Caenorhabditis elegans: one gene and its partner. The protein of the gene in region 1 interacts with the protein of each later gene in a pairwise test. Each region holds a gene or a part of one and is shown in the gene's direction. Other genes may lie near its edges.

Region 1 (5,718 bases):
AAATCAAAAAAAAATTCAGAATGTTTGCCTACCCCTAGAGATCTAAATACATAATTTTCAGGCTCATTCGACACTCGGGTCCCACAATATGTCACCACTATCGCACTCAAAGTCCAGTGGATTAACGAAGAGTTTTTCGAATTTTGCGCTCAACTCATCTAAACAGCGTGATGATATCACCGCCAATATGAGCCGATCGATTCGTGAACAAAACCGTCACATAACAATGTGTAGAGCTATGGTTGTTTGTCTGAAGGATACGGTAGACCGAATGGCACGTGGAGAGAATCCTGATGTTGCTCGTCTGCTCGGTGTCAAGTTGAATGTGATGTCTGAAAGTGAAATGGAAGATGATGAAGATCATGAGGCTGATGCATCACAACCGTTTTCAATGATGTCTGCTGAATCAGCGGTATGTTAGCACTCAGAATGCTAATAAAGTTATTGTTTTTTTTTCAGCTCTCGAAGCAATGCGGAAAACTCGCTGATCTCGATAAAGACCTAGATACAATTCGCTGTCAACTCGCAGATTGGCATGGTCAAACAAATGCAGAAGGAGATGGTGATCGTGATGTATGCAGAGTTCAATAGAACATTATCTATATCTGAACATCTTGTATTTTAATCATGTTTTGCTCGTAATCAATTGTACCATAGTTCTCAACACATTTCAATGTTCTTTTTTAAATTTTATTTGACTTCTTCTTGATCCCAACTCCATGAATTAATGACCGTGTAAGTACCCAATCTACTCTCAGTCGTGTAATTAATACTGTCAAATGCGTTTACTGTATGACGAACGTGATATTATCAAGATACTCGTAGTGAATTCACATTTCTGTGCATTTCATGGCCAGGATTTGATGCGTCATGATTTTTCTTCCAGAACCGCATTCATCGAAACTTTCGAACCCATTTCCCATTACGCGGTATCTCGTCCCCATTCATCCATCAAATGTTCCCCCGGACGTTGTTGTTTTACTAATAAAGCTCGTCCCACAAGACTTCATTTTCCATGTCATCTTCAATATTCTATCATTTCTATCCACTTCCATATCATTATTGATGAATGTACTGGCATTTGTGCCTGGAATTGAAATGAATATGACTGCAATTTTTAAATGAGAATTGAAAACTATCTTTTAAAAACTACTCTGAAACTATCGAATACGGGGAAATGCGAGTGAATGTTTAATTTATTCAAAATTCAAATTCCGACAGAGAACTAGATTAAAAAACAGTTTTTTGAAAAACTAAAATGCATTATATTGAATAATGAAGATTTTTAGAAACTAAGAAGTGAAGTTTATTCCTGTTTCATTATGGTTTTCAGTGTTGAAATTTGTAATTTTGAGTTGCGACACTATTTTTCAAGTTTTAACTGGTGACCGGTACGAAATTATCATAATTTCATTACGAAAATATTGTTTTAAATACAGAAATATTACTTAGTTAATCGTAGAAACTCAGAACACATTAATTCTTTGTTTAATTAAATTTATTGTTCTCCCCACCGTAAAAATAATGTGATGAAAACTGCGCGGTGGTTGCAAGAACCGCGTGCGAGGGTTGCAAAGGGGCGGAGCTATGTTTCAACAACGCTTGCCGCTCTCATTGCTTTTATTTCTGCTTTTTCATGCTTTTTTAAAGAATAATCACTTTTGTTTTTATTTCTTGATTTATTCTTTGTTTTTTTTTCAATATGATACAAATTTCAGATGGCAAAACGCCCAAGTACATCGAAAAACCCAGCGGAGGTGAGAAAAATTCGATAATTCACACGCCAATAAACTTTACAAAAGCTTTCAGGACGATGAACTTATCATTGATGAATGTAGAAGAAAACTAGATGACGACGAGAGTAACGATGTTGGAGCTTACTTTGAAGACGATAATCAGCAAGGGGTACGTCGAAAAATGTATGAAACTTGTTTAAAATTTGAATTTCAGACTTCATATCGAACGCCATTCATGCCTTCTCATTTGGGACTCATACAAGACCAATCCCCAGATCTTACAATGAAAGATTTGTTCAATAGGAAAAGATCGCGGCCTCAATCAACGGGATTTATCGATCACAGTCAGGCGCGATATTATGACCGGTACAAGCAACAAGAGTATACTCGTCGCAACGATTTTATGAAGTATTGTCATGTATGCCGTAAGAAAACAGTAGGAAAACTTCGTGTTCTACCCGGCGATCTTCGTATGCGAAAAGTATGGATTCTCCGGTCAAACCTGGACGAAGAACGATCTGCAGAGTTGTGGTTAAGAGAAATGGCTTGTGAAGGATCTCACGGAGGAGAATTCTGCGAAGCTCATTTCCCAGCAGGCTCACAGCATATGAAAGGAAATCAGCTCATACCCCTTGACGTTAGACCTGAAGTATGTTTTATTGCTGCTTTTTACATGTATTTAAATTCTTTCAGGAAGGAAGACATTCTGTTGTGGAAGATATTCAATTCGATTTCGATGCCATACACCTTCAGTGCGTTTTTTGTGGTAGAGACGGCCCTCTTGCAACCATGCTTCCTTTCATTAGAGTGAGACATGGTCACAGAAACAATTAATTTTCAAAAAGATTATTTCAGAATCGTGCCAAAAGACTGCGATGGATTGAACAGCTAGCTTCTGGAAATGAAACTTATAAGAACCGTCTACTCCATGCATTACGAGGCGGAGTCACCCAATTCCTATGCGATTATCACATTTCTGATAGCAGTTTCGAGATAAATGGATTTGGAGAGTGGCGTCTTCTCAAAAATGCGTTACCTGATCCAAGACTCGTGGCTTCGGACAAGCGAGGCGAACGAAAGTATCTGGTGGACAAGTGTCGGGATGAGATGTTCTGGGAAAGAGCTATGTGGAAAAGTGCGGACTTGTTGAGTCAAAATGGTACTGCAGATGATGAAGATATTATTGTTGGAGATGACATTCGACAGTTTCTGACGAATAGTGTTCCATCTGAAGCTGAACAAGTTTGTGAGTTATTGTTTCATTTCTAATTTGAAATATTTTAAATTTTCCTTTTTAGTGCATCCTATCCTGCAAATAAAGCAAAACGTTGAGAAGAAACTGAATGAAGCTGATTTGCAACCAGGAACGTCTGGAACATCAGGAGAATCGAATGCGACTGCTGATAATTTGAAAATTGGAATTTCCGAGGAAGGTGTTGAATATTCAGATGATTCAGACGAAGAAAATGAATTGATCGAGAAGATGGGAGACATTCCATATTCGAAACGTCTCTGTCAGGTGTGCAGCGCTGTTGAGCCCATCGGAAACGAGTTTCCCAACAATTTCCCATACAAGTTCTCGATTCGAACATGGCCGTTTGATGAGTGTCGACACAAGAAATGGCTCGAGATTATGGATTGGCCGCCGGAGTTTGAAGAATCAATGAAAACTTTGTGGCAGAAACGAAAAACTGAAGGAGCCCTGTCGGATTCTTACCATTTCTGCCCGATTAATGTGTGTCAGTCCCATCTTGATTTCAGAGTGAGTTAATTTCAAAACAAAATTTGCGTTTAACAATTCTTTTTAGCAACTTCCTGAACGTATGGAAGAGTGGCATCAGACATTTTGTTTGCTTTGTGATACTTGCATGAGCGATAAAAGTTTTCTTGTCGGAATCCCACATAATTTTGAAACTCGAACAAAATGGGCGAATAGCCTATTTCCAGTTAAGGAAGGAAACAAGTTTCAGCTCAAGAAGATTTCCTGGGTAAGTGAACAGCTAGGTTATCAGGGAAACAAACTACTCGTTTTCAGCTTCGTCGTCGATTCCTTCGTTCGAAACCAACCCGTTACCGTATCTGTGTGTATCATTTCAACAGAAAAGCTTTTCAAGTTAATCAGGATGATAAAATTGTTCTCGATGCGGAGGCTCTTCCTCTTCCAATAGATTCGGATGACTTTGATTTGACACCACGAGGTCCGAATTCGGTATGCAAATGCGTTTTATGTGACGACTGGAAGAAGGTGGAAGATATGGTGCCTTTCCGAGCCCCACACTCTGAAGCTGAAAGATCATTCCTTATCGATATTGTCATTCATTCGGATAAAATGACCATTAAAAAAGCGCTCGCTTCACTCGCCAAAACAAATCGTCCAGCTCTCATTTGCAATATACATTTTCCCGATGGAATTGACCCATTCAGTATTATTGCGGAACGGCGACTTATGTATGGAGTTCAGTCCGAATGTGTCTTGTGTGCTCATGCGAATGATTGCACTGCAATGATTCCATTCCCGGGACCCGATGACGAGAAACTCCGAACAAAATGGATAAACTCAATGTGCCGCGAACCATGGATCTATCGTTATCTGTCTACTCGTCTTGAGAAACCAGGAAGACACTATCTTTGTGCATCTCATTTCAACCGAAACTCACTTCGATATCACGCTGGACTTGGACTCTGGCGAAGAGCTGCAGCATGTCCTGTTCTTGCCTGTACAACTGATGAAGAACGACAAGAAGTATGGGATCTAAGCAAGTCTCAACCACTTTATCATCCATTGATTCTCGAAACATTCGATGATAACGGATCCGGCAGACTTGACTACGATGATGTCCTGAACTTTTTGGGAACTGAAAGAATGCGCCAGGTGTGTTTTTGAAATCGAAGTTTTGTACATAAAATGTATTATTCTAGATCGAAACCGAGTTGAACTTCCACGGACGAAACGATTCATTGCTTCGCAGAGAAAATCGGAAAAAGAATACTGGACGCAGCTTCTATGCCGATATGCCTAATATTTACGAGCACGGAGAGCTTCAAGAAGTTGAAGACCAAATGGAGGGAGAAGAAGAAGAAGTAGTACAAGAAGAATGTATTATCTATGAAGAAGAACATCATTTAGATGAAGCTGAAGAGCTTGAGGTTATCGAGGAAGAGGAAGTCGTCGAAGAAATTGTTGAACAAGTTGTGGACGACGGGGTTGTCGTAGGTGAAGAGATGTAGACTTTGATTTCATTTTCCCTCATTTTTTAATTCAAATGTTTTCATTTTGAACTATTCTCGAATTTCCAACACTGCATTACGCGTGATCAAACTTTCAAAAGCCGGTAAAAGTTAGTACTTTTCAAATTGTACACATTGAGATCCATTTTGTTTTATTCCCTTTCGTTTCTCTGTTTCTCTATTTCACCAATCGAATATACAATATCTGCCTAATAAATTCGTTGCGTTGTTTCTGAATTGTTCATTATGTTTTCCATATATCTATATTGATAAACGGTCGTGTATCAATTACACCCGAATTTTTACTTATTGTTTAATAATGTTTATATTCATACAACAGAAACGAGAAGAATTTTAAAAGCTCCACTTTCAGAGAATGGCGTTCACATTCGCCGCATTTTGTTATCTCCTGGCGTTAATTGCTGTCGGATTCTGCATCTTCTTCGCGATATACACTGTAAGTTTTATTCGTCAATCAATTTGTGAACGAAATTCATTAAGAGACCTCTCAAAATTTCGGAAAAAAAAGAGCTGAGTGAGCTTAGCTAAAATCTCAAATTGTACCGTTTTTCCGTGTCACATCTGTTGGAAATTAACTTTCATTTATCATCCTTTTTCAAGTTTTTTTTTTCGTTATATAACCCAAAAGGGTGTCATGGAAAAACTAAAATTTTAAGATTTTCCTAAAAAATAGAAAAAATGTTTCAAAAAAATAACAATAAAATTCATTTTCTAAAACCAAATTTTGTTTATG
Region 2 (4,796 bases), on another chromosome or scaffold:
TGTTGTACCCTTTATAACTCAACGTTCATTGAATTTCAAAAGATAAATTTTGTTGAATAGTGAGTGAAAAATATTTTTCTACATTTTACCAGTTTTAAGTTTTCGGATATTTTCATGTTCCGCCAAGTTACAGACCGTTTTTCAAAAAAATCCAATTTCGCTTATAAAAATCTTCATATTCAATGTATCGACTTGAAATTTTGAAAAATAATCATTTTTTTTGATGTCTCTACAATGTCCTAAAAATCTTTCAAAAAACACTGTCCATCTCCAAAATCGTCCTTCCCTCCAAAATAAAAAAGTGGACCTTTGCCTTCCGAAAAATGGGCGAAAAACTGAAATTGCGATTTTTGGGTCGAAAAAAATATTTTTAGAAAGCTGAGAACACGCTATTTACGAATTTCATGTTCATTTTAAGTGATTTCTTCTCTTGAACGACCTAAAAATTAAACAAAATTAACATAATTTTTATTTTCACGTGAAATTTTTTAAAATTTGCATTAAAACAATTGAAACACTGAGCAAATTACCAAAAAATTTCACGTGAAAATAAAAATTATGTTAATTTTGTTTAATTTTTAGGTCGTTTAAGAGAAGAAATCACTCAAAATGAACATGAAATTTGTAAATAGCGTGTTCTCAGCTTTCTAAAAATATTTTTTTCGACCCAAAAATCGCAATTTCAGTTTTTCGCCCATTTTTCGGAAGGCAAAGGTCCACTTTCTTATTTTGGAGGGAAGGACGATTTTGGAGATGGACAGTGTTTTTTGAAAGATTTTTTAGGACATTGTAGAGACAGCAAAAAAATGCATATTGTTCAAAATTTCAAGTCGATACGTTGAATATGAAGATTTTTATAAGCGAAATTGGATTTTTTTGAAAAACGGTCTGTAACTTGGCGGAACATGAAAATATCCGAAAACTTAAAACTGGTAAAATGTAGAAAAATATTTTTCACTCACTATTCAACAAAATTTATCTTTTGAAATTCAATGAAAGTTGAGTTATAAAGGGTACAACAAAAGAGTTCTAAAAATTTTTTGTGAATTTTGGAAAAATAGCTTTGACTCCGTGTAACTCTACAAAAAGTTGGTGTATTAAAATAAAAACTATTGAATTAGAAAGAAAAAATATTTCTGTTCATTTTGTTAGTTGGACATTTGTTTTCCAGATGTGTATTTTTTGAGATACGCCAGTTTGAACAATGAGCAAAGGGTAGGCAATGAGAAAAGGTAGTCAACGAGCAACAAGTAGGCAATCAAAACAGGAAGGCAATGAGCACAGGTATTCAATGAGAAAGAGGTAGGCAAAGAGCAAGGGTAGGCAATGAGCAAGGGTAGGCAATGAGAACAGGTAGTCAATGATTTTGGAGTCAATGAGTATTTGCCTACACTACTTCCTAGTCTACGATTGGGTCACGGAAAGTACATGGTTAAAATTAAAAAAAAAAGTTTTTAATGCTCATTTGGATAACAAATTATTACCACCAAACTTTAAAGACGGTAGTTTAATAATTACTACGCCTTATAAAATTTTTTTTTTCAGACCAACTCCAAATAATCTATTAGTCATAAATAAATGCTCAAAAAACTCATGAGAGCAGAAGTAAAGTGGATGTTCCCCGGAAGTCGTTGGCGACGAAAAACGCGTGTCTCTCTTTTTCCATCTTCTGAATTGCCCAACAACGACGGATTCTCGTTTTTCTTTGGAAGCGTTGCCATAGATACTCTCTCTTTCTCCTTTTTTGACTACAACCAGCATGCTCATACACACTTACACACTCCTCCCATTTTCATATCAAGTCGTCTTCAAGAAAATGTAGAAAAAGAAGAAGAGAGGAAGCGACTCTTGATTCTTTTATAAGTGTCAAGAAGAAAAAGAAGGCGATGGTAAATGAGTATGCCGAAATTATGGTTTTCTGGTGAAAGTGATAATTATAAGTTAGAAGATGAAGAAAAAGGTTTGTTAAAGCTTTATTTTATTTTTGAACTTTGTTCCTATCCAATTTCTACGTTTCAGCGTCAGCAACGTATTCTTCTCTGCGTACTGGTATCCTAAGCCTCACACCTGGTGACCAAAAATGTCGGTTATACTGTAGTGGTCCCCGGTGTAGATTCTGTATCGTAGTAACTGGTCAAACTGAAATTCAAGCAATAGATGGTTTATATTCAACATGGATAACATCTGATATTCTTGCAATGGCACGACTTCAAGTTGAACACTTTGACAGTTTGGGAATTGTGGAGAAATTCAAAACGTAAGTTCTATCTCAATTTGGTTGATAGCGGACTGATGATTGGAAACGATCATATTCTGTTATTCATAAACATTGTTCCTATTCTTTAGAAATGGAATACAATCAGTCATAAATCTTCAAGAAAGCGGAGAGCATTCATTCTGTGGAAGCGGTAATCTGACAAGTGGATTTAGTTATGATCCAGAGAATTTGATGAGAAATGGAAGTGAGTTAACTTTATATTAAAGAATTGATAAACGCTCGATTGCAAGTAGGCACGTTCAGGCCCACGTGTCTGTCCAAAAAGATGTAGATCGCCTTACAGGCTGGAATGTATTTTTCGTCTATGCAAAAAAAACCTGACTAGATCACATTTGGATTTCTGTTTTTTGTGACTACCAATGTATTTGGGATTAAATGTTTATTGAACGAGTAGGGTCCAACGAGAAAATATTTCCAACATTTAAATAATAATTTTTCTTCTAAACATGAGTTGAAAATATTTTGTCGACATTTTCCCAATGTTGTCTATTTGGCAGAATATTTTATAAAGAAACTACAGAAACATGACCATGAAAAACTTCAATGTGCAACAGCTTCTTACTTGTCTAATGAATGAACTACGCTTTAAATTATTTCCATTTTTCTTCAGTTTATCACTACAATTTCCCACTCCCCGACTTCCAAGCATGCACACCAAATCGTCTATTGGATATTGTCAAAGTGGTCGATTTTGCATTATCCCATGGAAAAATAGCAGTTCATTGTCATGCGGGTCACGGAAGAACTGGAATGGTGATTGCTGCATGGATGATGTATGCTTTGGGAATGTCTCCGAGTCAAGCAGTTGATACAGTCAGAAGTAGACGTGCAAAAGCTGTTCAAAGTAAGGAACAGGTGAAAACATTGCATGAGTTCAGAGTAAGTTCGTAATCATATACAATCACAAAAGTTCTATATTGCAGCTTCTAATAAGGAACAATGGAGGGATGATTATTCCTAAAAATAAAATGACACATATTTCGGAATATGTGGCATACAATCAAAAGTTTATAAGTAAACCAGAATCTAGATTATACGGTAAAATTCCTAAAGTAAGTATTTAAATTTTCTAAATAAATAAATAACATATTTTCAGATAGTTTACATTGCAATGCGAATAACACTTCAAAAAATGTATTCATCAGTGAATTTCGAAGTAGAAAACGATTACCGTATGAAAATTAAATGCGAAGGGCCATTACCTGAAAATAAATCATTCGATGAACAATTATTAAATGCTCAATTAAATGATGATGATCATGAAAAAACTCATTTTTGGTATATGGATCAAGTGAAGAATGGGCTCTCAATATCTACAATTAGTCGTCAATTAGAGGTTAGTTGGTGAGAGAGATTCAGGAAAATGTTAATCTGATTAAAATTTAGAATGAAGATTTTCGAGATATTATACGTCTTCTTGATTTGTTCTTTCATTCGACATTTCATCAATTGACGCATAAAGAGGAAATATTTGCAGTTTTACAGAATTGGGATCAAACTGAAAAGGTTAGAAATTTTGGAATTGTTGAGCAGATGTACCCGAAAAAATGATTATTTGATAATATACATTCAATGTGAAGAATTGTTAGTGTAGATTTTGTATAAACAAAAAAATAAAATTCGAGTTTAGTGACTTGCATGAAGATATAATTGACAGTTTAGTGAAAATAACGAAATACGTATTCCACTTATCGCGAACTTGAAACAGTAGATTTTAGAACGCAGTTTTTCAAAATAACATGATTTCAAATTATCAGTTTTGCTCTATTACTCCAAATTCCATTTTTTCAGGATTGGTCTCCAACGTTTTGGTTTTTATTAAAATGTATCCGTGAAATGCCTATTCCTCTTCATTTGGCACTATCACGTCTTATTTCCAAATGGTTCCTACGTTCTGAAGTGGAAATCGCGTCACGCATCAAACACATTTTATCATCACCGGTTACTTCAAACGAGTAAATTCAATAAAAGTTTTTTTCGAGAAATAAAAAAAAATGAAATCATTAAAAAAAAAAAAATGAAATCACTTTGGCGGGAAGTCTTTGCATCATAAAGAAACAAAGAAACGGGGAAGGCAAGTAGAAATAGAGGGGAAACGATTTGGATGAATACTGTTTACATGCGATAAATCGTTGGGAATACGGAGAGAATGAGAAGTACAAGTTGAACTGAACATGGAAAAGTTGCACTTTAATTGAGACAGAAAGCAGAAACAGTGATGGTTCACAACCGAAAATGACTGGTATTCAGGAAAAAGAAGAAGAATGACATGAAATGGAACAAAAATCATGACCGGAATGCGTTGGCAGAAGGAATTGGAGCTCGGCGATTTGATGGCTCCAGAAGACGTTCAGTCATGTCTTTCTGAAAAAAAAACAAGTGCTTTTATTTGAAAAAAAAATCACAGATTAATTTTTTTTTGAAGAACATCAAGTTATTTTCCTCAAAATTGAGGACAAACTTCTTTTATTTTTTAAACATTTTTTGTTGGGTCCTTCTTTTTTTTTTGAGAAATCAA

Evidence for each region.
Region 2: the proteins of him-17 (region 1) and ptp-8 interact in a two-hybrid assay, tested with the Caenorhabditis elegans proteins (one large-scale study listed by BioGRID).

The regions. Positions count from the first base shown.
Region 1 is NC_003283.11:13,174,993-13,180,710, forward strand, and holds him-17 (High Incidence of Males (increased X chromosome loss)), read left to right. Parts: upstream 1-1,718; coding exon 1,719-1,757; intron 1,758-1,809; coding exon 1,810-1,905; intron 1,906-1,950; coding exon 1,951-2,385; intron 2,386-2,429; coding exon 2,430-2,543; intron 2,544-2,591; coding exon 2,592-2,982; intron 2,983-3,034; coding exon 3,035-3,498; intron 3,499-3,544; coding exon 3,545-3,724; intron 3,725-3,771; coding exon 3,772-4,608; intron 4,609-4,655; coding exon 4,656-4,964; 3' UTR 4,965-5,193; downstream 5,194-5,718. Other genes in the region: noca-1 (Non-centrosomal microtubule array protein 1), read left to right, coding at 62-412, 460-591; cni-1 (Protein cornichon homolog 1), read left to right, coding at 5,341-5,421.
Region 2 is NC_003282.8:7,380,516-7,385,311, forward strand, and holds ptp-8 (TYR_PHOSPHATASE_2 domain-containing protein), read left to right. Parts: upstream 1-1,538; 5' UTR 1,539-1,899; coding exon 1,900-1,960; intron 1,961-2,019; coding exon 2,020-2,257; intron 2,258-2,346; coding exon 2,347-2,462; intron 2,463-2,888; coding exon 2,889-3,157; intron 3,158-3,201; coding exon 3,202-3,330; intron 3,331-3,374; coding exon 3,375-3,614; intron 3,615-3,664; coding exon 3,665-3,784; intron 3,785-3,918; exon of another isoform or gene 3,919-3,939; intron 3,940-4,069; coding exon 4,070-4,237; 3' UTR 4,238-4,281; downstream 4,282-4,796. Other genes in the region: mob-3 (MOB kinase activator-like 3), read right to left, coding at 4,565-4,642.